Macaca mulatta: one gene and its partner. The protein of the gene in region 1 interacts with the protein of each later gene in a pairwise test. Links are inferred from orthologs where the notes say so. Each region holds a gene or a part of one and is shown on either strand. Other genes may lie near its edges.

The links. The genes of interacting proteins can lie anywhere in the genome.
Region 2: the proteins of TOX4 (region 1) and FNDC3B interact in binary tests that used the Homo sapiens proteins (3 or more experiments, as listed by UniProt). The two-hybrid records come from large-scale screens. The link is inferred for Macaca mulatta from reciprocal best matches to the Homo sapiens genes TOX4 and FNDC3B.

What each region holds. Positions count from the first base shown.
Region 1 is NC_133412.1:94,335,803-94,343,252, reverse strand, and holds the start of TOX4 (TOX high mobility group box family member 4), read right to left. Parts: upstream 3,914-7,450; 5' UTR 3,875-3,913; coding exon 3,869-3,874; intron 3,658-3,868; coding exon 3,589-3,657; intron 1-3,588. Other genes in the region: RAB2B (ras-related protein Rab-2B), read left to right, coding at 4,273-4,318, 4,548-4,619, 6,222-6,289. UniProt on the Homo sapiens protein: Transcription factor that modulates cell fate reprogramming from the somatic state to the pluripotent and neuronal fate. In liver, controls the expression of hormone-regulated gluconeogenic genes such as G6PC1 and PCK1.
Region 2 is NC_133407.1:83,729,260-83,737,038, reverse strand, and holds the start of FNDC3B (fibronectin type III domain-containing protein 3B), read right to left. Parts: upstream 4,709-7,779; 5' UTR 4,507-4,708; intron 4,026-4,506; exon of another isoform or gene 3,649-4,025; intron 2,850-3,648; exon of another isoform or gene 2,323-2,849; intron 1-2,322. UniProt on the Homo sapiens protein: May be a positive regulator of adipogenesis.

The sequences.
Region 1 (7,450 bases):
TTAGATATATATATGTATTGTAAATATCTTCTCCCAGTCTGTGGAATGCCTATTTGTTATGAAATCATGTTTTTTGATGAAAAGAAGTTCCTAATTACAGTGGAGACCAATTATTCATTTTTTAAATGTTTAGTACTTTTTATGGGCAACTACTTTTTTCAGGGAGGGTCAGCAAACTCTAAAAATTTCCTCTCTTGTAAAAACAATTTTTTTTAATGTTACCTTTACCTACTTCTAAGATCTATTTGGGATGGCTCACAATAAAACCATAACCCCATTAAAATAAGTTATAAAACAATCATTACCACCACTACCAAGGGAAAGGGAAGGTATAGAAGTTGTAATGAGAAAATGGAGAACTGTTAACAATGACAGGAGCCTCAGGCAAAAGGAAGCTACTGAAATTGAGACTAAAACTTAGCTATCAGCTTCTTGGCAAAATAAAATAAGATTTCTTAAGTCCCAAAAACAAAAACAAAGGACAGACTGAACTTGGAAAGTTTCTTTCTTTTTCATTATAATATTACTTATTAATACTTTAAATTTACTTTTCTTCACTATACACCATGATTCTTCATGGGAGGTTTCTTGACATAAAAAGGAACCACTTCGGGCCAGGCATGGTGGCTCACACCTATAATCCTAGCACTTTGGAAGGCTGAGGTGGGAGGATCGCTTGAGCCTAGGAATTTGAGACCAGCCTGGACAACATGGTGAGATCCTGTCTCTATCAAACACAAAAGCAAAAACAAAAAGGAACCACTTTTTTAATGTGGTTACCTCTTGATTATTCAATTTCATAAACAGGGTAGAGAATTAAGAACAGTGGGTAAACTTAAAAGCTACTTGTATTTCATTTTAAAATGCACTTTCACATGAATGAGGCCAAAGTCAAATTTATAACACTCTAAATAACAAAATTTAAACTGTGGAGACCTGATTGAGGAGAAATTGGGAATTTCATGCAGGTAAGTCCAATATGAGATTTGCAACACTCAAATAATTAAATTTCAAAATGGAGATCTCACTCGAAGAAACTGGCAACTGAGAGTGCAAAGCACCAAGCACATTTTAGCTGTTTTTGTTTTGAGACGGAGTCTCACTTGTTCACCCAAGCTGGAGTACAATGGTGCGATCCTGGCTCACTGCAAACTCTGCTTCCCGGGTTCAAGTGATTCTCCTGCCTCAGTCCCCTGAGTAGCTGGGATTACAGGTGCGCACCACCACGCCTGGCTGATTTTTGTATTTTTGGTAGAGATGGGGTTTCACATGTTGGTCAGGCTGGTCTTGAACTCCTGACCTCGTGATCCGCCCACCTTGGCCTCCCAAAGTGCTGGGATTACAGGCATGAGCCACCACGCCCGGCCTCAGCTGTTTTTTTTAAATTAATTATTACTATTTTTTATAGAGACGGAGTTTGATCACGTTGCCCAACCTGGTCTAGAACTCTTGGGCTCAAGCAATTCTCCCACCTCAGCCTCCCAAACAGTTCGGATTAGTGGCATGAGCCACTGTGCTGGGTCCAGATTTAGGTTTTATATCATTTCTAAGTTTGCCACATACTAGATTCACACTTACCCTGCTTATAAGACTAATAAAGCAACAAAAAAGTTAAACTGGCGCCGGGCATGGTGGCTTATGCCTATAATCCTAGCACTTTGGGAGGCTGAGGTGGACAGATCACTTGAGGCCAGGAGTTCAAGACCAGCCTGGGCAACATGATGAAACCCTGTCTCTACTAAAATACAAAAAGAAAAAGAAAAAAGAAAAAAAATTAGCTGGGTGTGGTGGCGCACACCTGTACTCCCAGCTACTTGGGAGGCTGAGGCAGAAGAATCACTTCAGCCCAGGAGGTGGAGGCTGCAGTGAGCCAAGATCGTGCCACGGCACTGCAGCCTGGGCTACAGGGAGACTGTCACCTCCCCCCGACAAAAAAAGAAAAAAAAGTTAAACTAGCAACTACCCCTTGTCAACCCCATTTTCATCCATGAAAACGTTAGGATTATAGGATAAGCGCATGCGACAGCCACTGACAATTCTTGGTACAAAAAACTGATGCAAATGGTCCACACCACTTTTGAAAATAAATTTAAAAGTCCTCAAAAAATGGCACGTGGTTCAAGACTTCAGTTTCTCAAAGACAGAAATTTTTGTCTGTTCCACCGTTCTCTTTTGCTTCTCCTAAACAAGTGATACGTATCTATATTATGACAATATTTCAACCAGAATTTTTTTTTTTTTTTTTTTTTTTGAGACAAAGTTTCCCTCTTTTTGCCCAGGCTGGAGTGCAATGGCGCGATCTCGGCTCACCACAACCTCCGCCTCCCGGGATCAAGCGATTCTCCTGCCTCAGCCTCCCGAGTAGCTGGGATTACAGGCATGCGCCACCACCCCGGCTAATTTTGTATTTTTAGTAGAGACGCGGTTTCTCCATGTTGGTCAGGCTGGTCTTGAACTCCCGACCTCAGGTGATCCACCTGCCTCGGCCTCCCAAAGTGCTGGGATTACAGGCATGAGCCACCGCGCCCGGCTCAACCAGATTTTTTTAACAAATACTTTAGGGTTTCATCACAACCTTTACTTCTACTATAAAACAGCATAAGAAGCTATTATTACAGCTGTTTGACAGTTGGGGAAACTATGACATACAACGATGAAGTAATGTGCCCAACGTCTGAGTCACAGAAAAACTGAAACACATATCCTACTCAACTCTTTTTATGTTCTCTAGCAGCTATTTCCTTTCTTCCTGGCATTAGCAAAACAAGCCGACACTGTGTAGGTAAAGGTAACCACAAACTTTTTATTAAAGTAGTAAATTTAGGCCAGGCGCAGTGGCTCAGGCCTGTAATTCCAGCACTTTGGGAGGCCGACGTGGGTGGATCACCTGAGGTCAGGAGTTTGAGACCAGCCTGGCCAATATGGTGAAACTATATCTCTACTAAAGATACAAAATTAGCCGGGCATGGTGGCACACGCCTGTAATCCCAGCTACTCGGGAGGCTGAGGCAGAAGAATCGCTTGAACCCGGGAGGCGGAGGTTGCAGTGAGCCGACATCGCACCACTGCACTCCAGCCTGGGCGACAAAGCGAGACTCTGTCTCAAAACAAAACAAAACCAGTAGGAAATATAAATGAAACAAATTTAAAAAGACCCCTTCAACAGAGTTCGTTACAGGAATGAACACATGCTGTTCCACGGTCAACCCTCTGCTAGGTAAGCTCCTCCCCTCACCCCAGTTTCTTCAGCTGCTGAAAAATTTTCTTCCCACTGCGATCCTTTAAGATTACTGTAGTTATTTCTCCCCAGAAAAAGGAGACAATTTCACTGTCTTCTAATCCAGAATCACTTTTCTCTTTAAATAGGTTATCTCTTTCCAATAGCTTGCTTTTCTGATGACAGCAACTTCCCAAGACTTCCCCAGATAGTCCCCATAGGCTCTAGAAGCAGCTGCCACTTTTCTCTAAACACCAATTGCAGCCCTTGGTTCCCAGCCCCCGTCCCTGGAGTGCGTGCTCTCCTCCCCACCACCCTACCCCACCGCGGCCTCAGGCCCTCCCCCCGCGGCGTCGGCAGCTCGTGCTCACCTCGGCCCCTGACAGGAAGGGGTGCGAAGGCCCTGTGATAGTCAGGTAATTGTCATTTCCTCCGGGAAACTGGAAACCAAAAGAAAGCCGCGGGGATAAGTTAGGGGGAGCAGGGAATTAGCTTGGAGCGATGGCTTCTGACCCCGACATTCTGACAACACTCCCCAAACCCCGCGCTCTCTCCTCTCCCGTCAGTCGCCTCTCCACCCGGCTTCCCGTCTCTGCTTCAACCCGGTCGGCCGCGTTCTCTCGCCAGCCTTCTTAGCTATCAGGTTCCTACCTCCATCTTCACACAACCGCTCCCACCGTCTCAGACCCTCATCGCTCCCACCGCCCCCACTGGTCTCGGAACTGCCGTCACTTCCGCAAGGACGTGCGTTACTCTCTGCTCATTGGAAGGAGCGCCGTGGGGGCTGCAGCGAGTCAGGCGGTGGCCTATCGCCCCCTGGAGCTTGGAGGGATAATGGCATGTAGAAGTACTAGAGGTATCCCTGGAGGTGGCGTTGGGTACTCCCGACCTAAGGAGGATTTCTGGGGAGAGCAATAGAGACGTGATCTGGGCTAGAGGAGCCGGAGAGGGTGGGCGGCCGGGAAGAAGAAGATCGGTAGATTGAGTGGCTAGAGAGGTTGGAGGTAAGTGGCTGTAGAAGTCGGGCGGACCCGGAACCCAGAGGACGCGACATCATGACTTATGCTTATCTCTTCAAGTATATCATCATCGGAGACACAGGTAACCCTCAGGTTGTTCGCCTTCAAGGCTGGGGCGGACGTCCGAAGCTCCCAAATTGGGTGGCGGGGGCGGGGCTCACTTTGTGGGCTGGGCGATTCGAGACGGGCGGGGCGGTTCGGGGCGGCCAGGGGCGGGGCTCGGGGACCCCCCGCTTCTCTGGTCCGGGAAGTCCAGAGTCCGGGTAGTGTTCCAACGCTACGTGACTCTGGGAGCGTGTTTTCTCTTTCAGGTGTGGGGAAGTCATGTCTCCTCCTGCAGTTTACAGATAAGCGGTTCCAGCCTGTCCACGACCTCACAATAGGTAAGTGCATCTACTTGTTCCAGAACAGATAAAACCTGACTAGCTAAATTGCTAAAGTGGAAAGTTAGCAGCCTTCAGTGTTCAAAGTAAAAAGTTATCCCTCACTACTTTAAACTAGTCCAAAGTTATGTTAATGAAGTGGTTAATCAAACGTTGATATGTGGCGAGTAGTGTAAGGGAGAGTATATAATTGAAAGGTAACTTTTTGGAGTGTGAGGTAGAGACTTGTCATATAATTTTTTTCAAGTACAATTTTTTATGTTTATGGAAAATCCCACGAAAGCATAACTGCTTATTTGTAAACTCATCTGTGCTTTGCAGTAAATTAATACCAGCCTTACTTTTAAAAAGTAAACACCAATACATGGACATTTTTTATATTGGTGAAGAAGCAAATTGAAGAGTCATCCCTGCCTTAGAATTAATAGGCAAATAAAACTAAAAACTTTCCTTTTAAATAAAACAGTGTGTTAAACAGTTCCTCATACCCACTGGGGATCCTGGAAAATATTAACATTTCCCACACATTTGTGATAAGGCATAGCCTGAAGGGGCTTTTAGCTACCCCCTCTTCATTATCTCCATAACCCCAGTCCAAATAAACAACATATATGAAACTAGCTTTGTTGCCATGCAAATGCAGTTTCTAAATAAAACTCCTACATCCCCATTCTTACAATATTGCTACTTCCAAGTCACACCTGTGTGGAAATCTGAAGCTACCACTGTTCTAACGGATTTATTTAGAGTCAAATAATTGATGGGGTTAGAAAAGGATTTAGAAGGCAGTATCAACCAAAAGGTATTTTAAAGGGAATATTGAGTGAATTCTTACTTTGTGATAGGGGCTAATGATACAATGCTTAACAAGGCAACAATGCTTAATTGTTCCTCTGGCAATTATTGGAGATATAAAATGTATTGTTAAAAAAAATTAGGTGGGCGTTGTGGCGTGCGCCTGTAAGGTACATACTGGGGAGGCTGAGGCAGGAGAATCACTTGAACTCGGGAGGTGGAGGCAGTAGTGAGCCGAGATCGCACCACTGCACTCCAGACTGGGTGACAAAGCAAGAGACTCCATCTCAAAAAAAAAAAAAAAAAAAGTATTGTTTCTGAGAACCTATTTCTTAGGCTCTTTTCTTAAAGAAAAAAATCTGGAATTACAAAAAAATAAATATTGTTTTAAATAGAGACTAGAGAGTGACCGAGAAAGTGTCAGGAAGCATTTCCAGAATTTTTAGGAGTTTTTTGGAAAAGTTACAAAACTAAATGTTACCTAATCAAATTTAAGCATTAACTGACATTGCTAAAAAATTACCCTTTTAAATTTGACTTCTTAATTGGTTTTGTTTTCCCATATGTGCTTTTTGGTTACATTCCTGAGGTCATTAGAGCACAATTTTTTAATTCCGGAAGGGAAATGAAGAACCTTGAGAAACACAAAGTTAATTGGAGCAAATAGGCAGCAATAATGGAATTAGTGGCATTGAGTTCAGACTAAAGGATGGGTATAACACATTGAGGAAAGGCAGGAACCTCCTCCCACTCCACATGGCTGCTGTTCATGAGAATCACATTCTTTCTCTTGGTCTTTACCAACAGGTGTGGAGTTTGGAGCTCGTATGGTCAACATTGATGGAAAACAAATCAAACTGCAAATCTGGGATACGGTGAGAGTACAAAATAATTTAGTCTCTGACCAACATCCAAGTATAGTAAGAAAAGCCAATGCAAAGGAAAGGGGCAATGAGGGTGGGACTAATAGTGGGGATAAAATAGGGGAAAGGTGAAATCAAAGAGATAGAGAAGCTTTTTTTTTTTTTTTTTTTTTTGAGATGGAGTCATGCTCTGTCGCCCAGGCTGGAGTGCAGTGGCCGGATCTCAGCTCACTGCAAGCTCCGCCTCCCGGGTTCACGCCATTCTCCTGCCTCAGCCTCCCAAGTAGCTGGGACTACAGGCGCCAGCCACTTCGCCCGGCTAGTTTTTTGTATTTTTTAGTAGAGACGGGGTTTCACCGTGTTAGCCAGGATGGTCTCGATCTCCTGACCTCGTGATCCACCCATCTCGGCCTCCCAAAGTGCTGGGATTACAGGCTTGAGCCACCGCGCCCGGCCGAGATAGAGAAGCTTTTAATTCTATCTGTTACAGTTACAAATTCTGGATGCTATATCTTTGTGTTGTAAACTGTCCAAGTAATATATTAGTTTATTCTAGTAAAAATAAAATCAAACTATAAATTTATAGCATGGAAAATAAATGTCTCCTTTTTATACATAAACGCTTTCTCCTTCCCCGTCTTGGTTGCTACTCTAGCAAGGGAATCATTACTGATGATTCCATGTGTATGCTTTCAAACTTTTTCTATGCATTTAGATACATACATATGAACAGGGAAATACAGGGAACACAGGTTGTAGAGACCTTTCCATATCCATACATAGAGATCTACTTCATTCCTAGAGATCTACTTCATTCCTTTTAACCACTGCGTAGTCATGGAATGTCAGTAGCATAATTTATGGAACCATCCTCCCTTTGATAGAAATTTGGGTTATTTTCCAATTTTTAATTATTGCAAAATTTCACTGAGCATTCTTTTTTTTTGAGACAGAGTTTTGCTCTTGTCACCCAGGCTGGAGTGCAGTGGTGTGATCTTGGCTCACTGCAACCTCCACCTCCTGGGTTCAAGCGATTCTCCAGCCTCAGCCTCCTGAGTAGCTGGGATTACAGGCACCCACCACCACACCTGGCTAATGTTTTTTGTATTTTTATTTTTTATTTTTTATTTTTTTGAGACAGAGTCTTGCTCTGTCATCCAGGCTGGAGTGCAG
Region 2 (7,779 bases), on another chromosome or scaffold:
TTTGAGACAGAGTCTCGCTCTGTCGCCCAGGCTGGAGTGCAGTGGCGCAATCTCGGCTCACTGCAAGCTCCGCCTCCCGGGTTCACGCCATTCTCCTGCCTCAGCCTCCTGAGTAGCTGGGACTACAGGCGCCCGCCACCGCGCCCGGCTAATTTTTTGTATTTTTAGTAGAAACGGGGTTTCACCGTGGTCTCGATCTCCTGACCTTGTGATCCGCCCGCCTCGGCCTCCCAAAGTGCTGGGATTACAGGCGTGAGCCACCGCGCCCGGCTTCCCACCAGCTTTAACTATGACATGTAAGCATTGTTTTTAAAACCAAATAGTTGGGGGGAGGGGGGAGGGATTGCATTGGTAGTTATACCTGATGTAAATGACGAGTTGATGGGTGCAGCACACCAGCATGGCACAAGTATACATATGTAACAAACCTGCATGTTATGCACATGTACCCTACAACTTAAAGTATAATAATAATAAATAAATTTTAAAAATAATAATAAAAATAAATAAATAAATAAATAAAACCAAATAGTTAACAAATAATATGCATATTTTATCCACTCTACATAGGAAAGCAAAGTTGAGCTATAGCTAAGTCGGTCTTTAAGTTCCATTTAAGGGCTGAATGTAACTTCTGATATCATAGAAGAAAGAAAAATGAACTAAGAGATCTGAAGAGCAGTATGCAGCCTGGACAACATAGTGAGACCTGTCTCTACAAAAAAAAAATAATAATAATAATAATAATAATAATAAATATCCTGGCATGGTAGCGTGCACACCTGTAGTCCCAGCTACTGGAGAGGCTAAGGTGAGAGGATCACTTCAGCCTGGGAAGTGGAGGCTACAGTGAGCCATGATCATGCCACTGCACTCCAGCCTGGGTAACAGAAGGAGACTCTGTCTCAAAGTAAAATAAAGAGCAATATGACCAAGCTACATGTGAAAGATTTGGGAGTCAAAAAGTTCTACACTTTGCTCTCCAATATGGTAACCACTAGCCACAAGTGGAAATTACAAGTAAATAAAACTTAGGCCGGGTGCGGTGGCTCACGCCTGTAATTCCAGCACTCTGGGAGCCCGAGGCGGGTGGATCACCTGAAGTCAGGAGTTCATGACCGGCCTGGCTAACACGGTGAAAACCCGTCTCTGCTAAAAAATATAAAAATTAGCCGGGCATGGTGGCAGGCGCCTGTAATCCCAGCTACTCGGGAGGCTGAGGCAGGAGAATCGCTTGAACCCGGGAGGCGGAGGCTGCAGTTAGCCGAGATGGCGCCACTGCACTGCAGCCTGGGACACAGAGCGAGAATCCATGTCAACTCGCCAGGCAGAGGTGGCAGTGAGCCGAGATTGCGCCACTGCACTCACTCTAGCCTAGGCGACAGAGCGAGACTCCATTCCAAAAAAAATAATTAAACTGTTGTTTCTCAGTCCACTAGTTACATTTCAAAGACAGTTATATGTGCCTTGTGGCTGCTAAACTGGACAGCACAGACAGAACCATTTCCAACACTTAAGAAAATTCCATTGGATGACACCGTTGGTAGCTACGTGATCTTATGCAAGTTACTTAATTTCTGTAAATCTCAATGCCCTTATTTGTAAAGAGTGCATAACACAACCTAAATCGAAAGACTATTCGAATTTTAATGAGATAATGTATAAAAGCACAGGAATTAGTGCTTAGTACACATCAGATACCCCAGAAAGGAGCTATTAACACAATCCTGTATTAAACTTTCGTCTATAATGGTGACCCTCGACAAGTCACTTTCCCTTCCGGGGCCTCATTTTCCAAACTGACAAGTGTGGGAAATTCTTCTAGTTAGCTTCTAATGAACCTATCAATCAAATGCTACCAGGTTAAATAAAGTATTGAGCAAAAGGAGCACAAACTCCTACTGAGTAAACTGTTACCTAGGCTCCAAGAGCCTAGAGCTTCCTCACAGATCCCAAGCATTCTTCAAGAAACCCCAGAAGACTGGCTCTCCAATATAACCCATCGTCTGATGTGCGCTATTTATAAAGTCTGTCTTAAAAGATTACCGGAATATCTTTCTGAAATTGTGTATACTGTAATTAGAAGCTACAACCTCCTATTTCATGATGAGATCCTGCAGTTTTAACATCTTTTAAATGAACACTATCTTTACAGATGAATTTTTTTTTATCTTAAAGTCATTTAAACCACAACACTTTAAAAGCACGTGAGTTTAAAAACAATTTTGTAATGACTGATTTTTTTTTTTTTAATCAACTATGCCTCATTCTCAGTCAGCCTGTGGGTGCCCCTCTGGTATCTAAACAAAGTGAGAATTGTACCTTCATGGGTGAGGTCCTTTCGCAGGGCCAGAAACATGCCCAAAGACTTTATCCTCGTTAACAGCTGCTCCCAGGGAGCCAGGAAATTTACTGATCCAGTAAATTTCAGAGTCAGCCTCCAATGAGGGGGAACCAAGGGCCCCCACAAAAGGCACAAAACCAGCGCTCCCGGCTGCTATCCACTGTGGGGCGTTGCCCAGGCACCTAGGGTCACAGCTTTAACTTAGGGGTGGAGGAGCAACTCCGGCAGCAGAAATCATTACAGAGCGAAGCAATTTTGCCCAAGGCCTGAAGCCTCCAAAAAAAAAGTATTATTCCAGAGCAGATTCCTTTTCTTCCGGGTCTGTCTGCTCCTTCTGACTCTTTGCCCACAACCACCGTGCCTCCCCATTCTCAATGCCCCACCTCCTGCCACATTTATTTAAAAAAAAAAAAAAAAAAAAAGAAGAACAAGGAGGAGGAGAAGGAAGGAAGGAAGGAAGGAAGGAAGGAAGGAAGGAAGGAAGGAAGGAAGGAAGGAAGGGAGGGAGGGAGGGAGGGAGGGAGGGAGGGAGGGAGAAGGAAGGAAAGAGAGAGAAGGAGAAAGAAAGAAAACGATTTTAAAAAGCATATTCCCTCTCCCTTAGCTTTCCCTAGGAAGGCCTGGAAACTGGAGGAAATTCAAATCAAATTAGTTGCACATTAAAAAATAAACAGACAAGCAATCAGGAGGTGCCCACCCAACAAAAGACCTCACCCGTTCCAAAATATGATTAAGCCTGGGAGGGAAGAGGGGGAGGGGGACTAGAAACCAGCAGGGATGGAGAGATAAACCTGTGGATTTTTGGCCCCAGCGTTGACCCATTGCGGCCAAATTCTAAATTTTGTTTAAAGAAAATGCTGAGTCGAGGAGAAAAGAAAATAAAAAGTTATAACTTTTAAGGAAGTCTGCAAACGGCAATGTCTGAATAAAATGCCATTGCTTCCCTTCGTCTGGGATGGCAGGGTGGGAGCTGAGATTCCAAAAGCTCCAACTCCGACCGCGCACTCCTGGAAGCCTCCCCGCCAAAGGCGCCGCCGGGCGGCACAGCCCAGTCTCCCGAGACGGCGGGTCCGGGTCCTCTGGCTCCCACGGGACGCCAGGACCCGGACCTCTGGGAAAGTTCGCGGGCACAGCCCGAGGCCCCACTTTCTGCCGAGAGTGACAGGCCCTTCCCACGCCTGCCGGCCCCAGCCCAGCCGCGGGCACCAGACGGTCCGCGCGGCCTCTCCTGGCCGCCTCGGGGAGCAGATTCCGCCCGCCCGCCCCACCCCCGGCCGAGGCGCCCCTCGGGGTGACGGACTGACCGGAGCTCCGCTGGCCCACACACCGGGTCGCCCGCTCCTTCCCGCCGCGCCCCGCTCCCCCGCCCGAGCTTCCAGCCGCCAGGCTCGCCAAGTCCGGCCGCGGCCGCCGGTTACCGCCCCCAGCCCGGGGGGAGCCCGGGGGGCAGGACGGGGAGGGAGGACGTGGCGCGCTCGGAGGTGGCCAGCAGCGGGGCGGGGAGTGTCCCGGAGAGGCCCAGCCGGGGGCGGGGGAGCCAGGCCGGCGCGGGCTCGGGACCCTCCCCGAGAGCATCCCCGGGTTCGAGGCCCCCGACTGCCCCCGCCGGCGCGGAGAGGCGGCCCCAACTTCCAGCCCCACTTCGCACACCCGCCCTCTTTCCTCCACCATATGGAAATCTACAGCCTCAGAAAGTGACACGTCGAAGATTCCTCGGCCTCGCCGCCCGCCCTCCCCCTCCTGGGCAGCGTTCCTGCCGCGGAGATTCCGGGAGGGGGAGCGGATTCCTCGGACAAAATCTGCTGGGAAGGCTGGGGGTGGGGGGAGGCCGCGAGCCACTGCCCCAATTTTTTTTTTTAAGAGGAATCTACCCGTTTCTTTCACTCCTGCAAACCCTGAGGCAGGCAGCACAGGCGGGGAACCCGATCCCAGAAAGGCGGGGGCCGCCCCCTCCCGGGTCCCGTGTTCCCGGGGTGCCCAGGCGAGCGCGGGGCGCCCCAGCACTCCGGCGCCAAGTTTTTGCCGGGAAGCCCAGGGCGCTCCCGGGACAGGGACGCACTTTGGCGGACTCGGCATCAGGCCGGGGCTTTCCAGTGCACCGGACCCGGCGATTGCGCGTGGGGTCCGGGTCTCCTCCAGTTCCCGGCTCCTGCACGCCTTACCTTCCCTAGGGCTGAAACGCGGGGCTCCGGGCGCACCACACACCGGGTCGCCCACGCCTTCCCAGCCGGCAGCCCAAAGGATTCCTGACGCCCCCTTGCTGCTCCCGCCGCCGCCGCTCTCCTCCTCCTCCAGCCGCCGCCGCCGCCGCCGCCGCTCAAATAACTACCAGGAGGGTTTGATGGGGGATTCCGCCATGTCAATGATGTCGGGACCACATGGGGATTTGGGGCCCGCCCACTACCGTAAACCGCCGAGTATACCTGCCGCCACAATCGCAGGCTCGCAGAAGCTGTTGTCCCCGGCCCTGCCTAGCTAAGCAGAAACTCCTTTTGGTTCAGCCAGACTAAAGAAACCTGACGCTTAGGGAGCTAACAACTCCTGAATGGCGAGGGCTGCCGGTTCTCCAGATCGCCAAAATAATGTAAAGGCAATGTTTACTCAGTGATAATTAAGCCTAAGACTGACTTTTTTTCATTTACACATATATTTCCCTTTTTGTTGTTAACCCCCACAGCAACCTTGTGAGCTATATTACTCGCCTATTTCCCACAGCATTTTGTTCATACAGCTAACATAGTATGAGCAAATTTTATTACACTTAAGTTAAAATCTCTACTTCCTCTTTCTTCCTTTTGTTTTGTATTTTGTTGTTTTGGGGACCGCAGGCACTGGGCAAGCATGAGCCACCACACCCTTTTTTTTCTGGGGGGGGGGAGAATAGAGAGGGGGTCTCAATAGGTTGCCCAGGCTGGTCTGGAACTCTGGAACTCAGGTGATCCTCCCGCCTCGGCCTCCCAAAATGTTGAGATTACAGGCGTGAGCCACGTCAGCCAGCCTTATTTCCCAATGCGTTTCTCAAGGATAGAGACTGTTGCTTACTTTTATCTTTGTATCTGTAAAGGACAAGGACCACAATAGGACTCATTAAATAACTGTTGAGTTTATATTAAGTCAAATGTAATGTATTTCTGTTGTACAGTCTCAAAGAGGTTAACAGACTGCATCCCTTGCCACCCCTCAAATTATTCAGGAGACAAGAGAGCTAAAGTTAGCCTAGAGAAGCCCCTGCCATCCATAGCTGTCCAGGTATTCTGAATATCAGCCTCAACTATTAAGCTACAAAGGAGCATTCAGGGAGTCACCAGAGACAATGTATTACTTTTGTCAACCTAAAAAAAATAATAACAGTACATAATACTCTATTAAGTCTAAAGAACACTGAGAAATAGCTCCTTCCCTTGTACAATTTGCCATTCTTTGGGGGATTTTTTTTTTTTTCTTGGAAGCAATGGTGAGCCCAGAGAAATGGGGACCTGTCTCCTAAATGGCTTATTTCCTGTGGAGCTCCTCAAAGGGGAACTTGAAGCAATCCTTCTATAACACAACTCCTTCTATAATACAACTCCTTCTATAACACAATTCTGGGTTATAGTCCTGTATGAGAAGGGTGGGGGGAAAGGCAGTAGTTCCTTAGTGCCAATAGTGTACAGTCCAATAGATCTCATTTGCATCCAAATGCCTTCTCTGACTCCGGACTCTTTGGCTTCCTCAGGTGCCATGCCTTCAGCACAGCTCATCACTCATGGCTCCAGAAGGTACCTGTGTCCCTTTGTATGTGCCTTCCGTCTGAAATATACTTCTTCCCTATTTAAGATCATTTACTCCTTCTTGATCTCCGGCTAAGACCACTACCTCATTTCCTCCCTACAATCTCATACCTCTTTTCCCCACGATCTTACAATCCTTGTCAGTTCTCACATTGCTCTGAAGTTAGTTTTTTGTTTGTTTGTTTGTTTTTTGTTTTTTTGTTTTTTGTTTTTGTTTTTGTGTTTTTGAGGCTAGAGAGCAGTAGCACGATAGCAGCTCACTGCATGGTCAAGCTCCTAGGCTCAAGTAATTCTCCCACCTCAGCCTCCCAAGTAGCTGGAACTACAAGTGTGTGCCATCACACCTGGCTAATTTTTTTTTGTTTGTTTTTCAAAGAGACAGGCTCCCACTTTGATGCTGAGGCTGGTCTCAGACTCCTGAACTCAAGCAATCCTCCTGCCCCAGGCTCCCAAAGTGCTGGGATTACAGGCATGAGCCACTGCACCCAGCCTGAAATTATTCTTTATCTCTTCCACTTGACTGAGTTTTGTTCATGTTTGTATCCCTAGTATCAACCTAGAATTCTGCTTCGAATAGAAGACCCCCTTATGTTTGATGAATGAATTAATTGTAAAGTATGCAGAAGAATCTGAATGACTAGGTCAGTGAGCAAACTTCAGAGTGTGAAAGGTCAAATTCAGGTTGAAGGACAAGCTTGGCAGAGGAGGTAAAAGTAGGCAAGAGAAATTTGGAGGACAAATTTATTTATTCCTGTTTCTTCCACTAGATTGAATTTCTTCTTATTAGGAAGAAAAGAAATCAATGTACATATGATGCTTTATAATTTCACATGCATGTTCATATATGATAGTGTTTCATTCATCTTCTTTGCCCTAACACCTAACACCAGTTTTGGCACAGAAAATAAGCCCATTAAATGTTTGCAAAATGAGAGGAAGTATGGTACAGTGGAGAGAGTATAGAATATAATGAGAGAAAAGTCAGTGATGTTGGGCATAAAGTTCTCTGTACCTGAATTTTCTTATTTGTTAAATTGTGATCTTTAATAAACCTCTGGCCAAGGTTGTATAAAAAACTCAAGCACCTGGTACTCAGTAAATAAATATTGGTTACTCCTTGAATTAATGAACAAATGAGTAAATGAATTAATAAAGATATCTTTCTTAAAAGAATTAATAGGACAGAATTGGAAGCTTCAGAGAAGAAGGTGGAATTTGTGATAGAGGGCTCTCACCTACACTTTGAGGGATTTCAATTTAATACAGTGAGAATACTGTGGGATTATTGAGGCATGAAGTAATTGAAATAGGTTTCAAGGTTATCTTAGCAGCAGGATGTAGAACAAGGTTCATGTCAGAGATGCATGCCCTGAACCTACTTTGGAAATGATGAAACTTACACCAGAGTCATGGTTCTGGGAATAGGAAGAAGGACCTCAACCTAAGGCAATGAGTATGACTCTCTGGTGTTGACAACCTGTGTCATCTGCTGCTTTAGGTCCCAAATTATGAAACTGTAGTCATGGGTAAAACTTTGCTCCAAAAGCAGCTTAAGATTTCCTCAAATACAAAAGTTAACATCCAAATGAAGACGCCTAGAAGTTAAGGCCTATAACAAAATACAGAGACTCTTAAACCCATCTATCACCTGTGCAATGTAGGCTG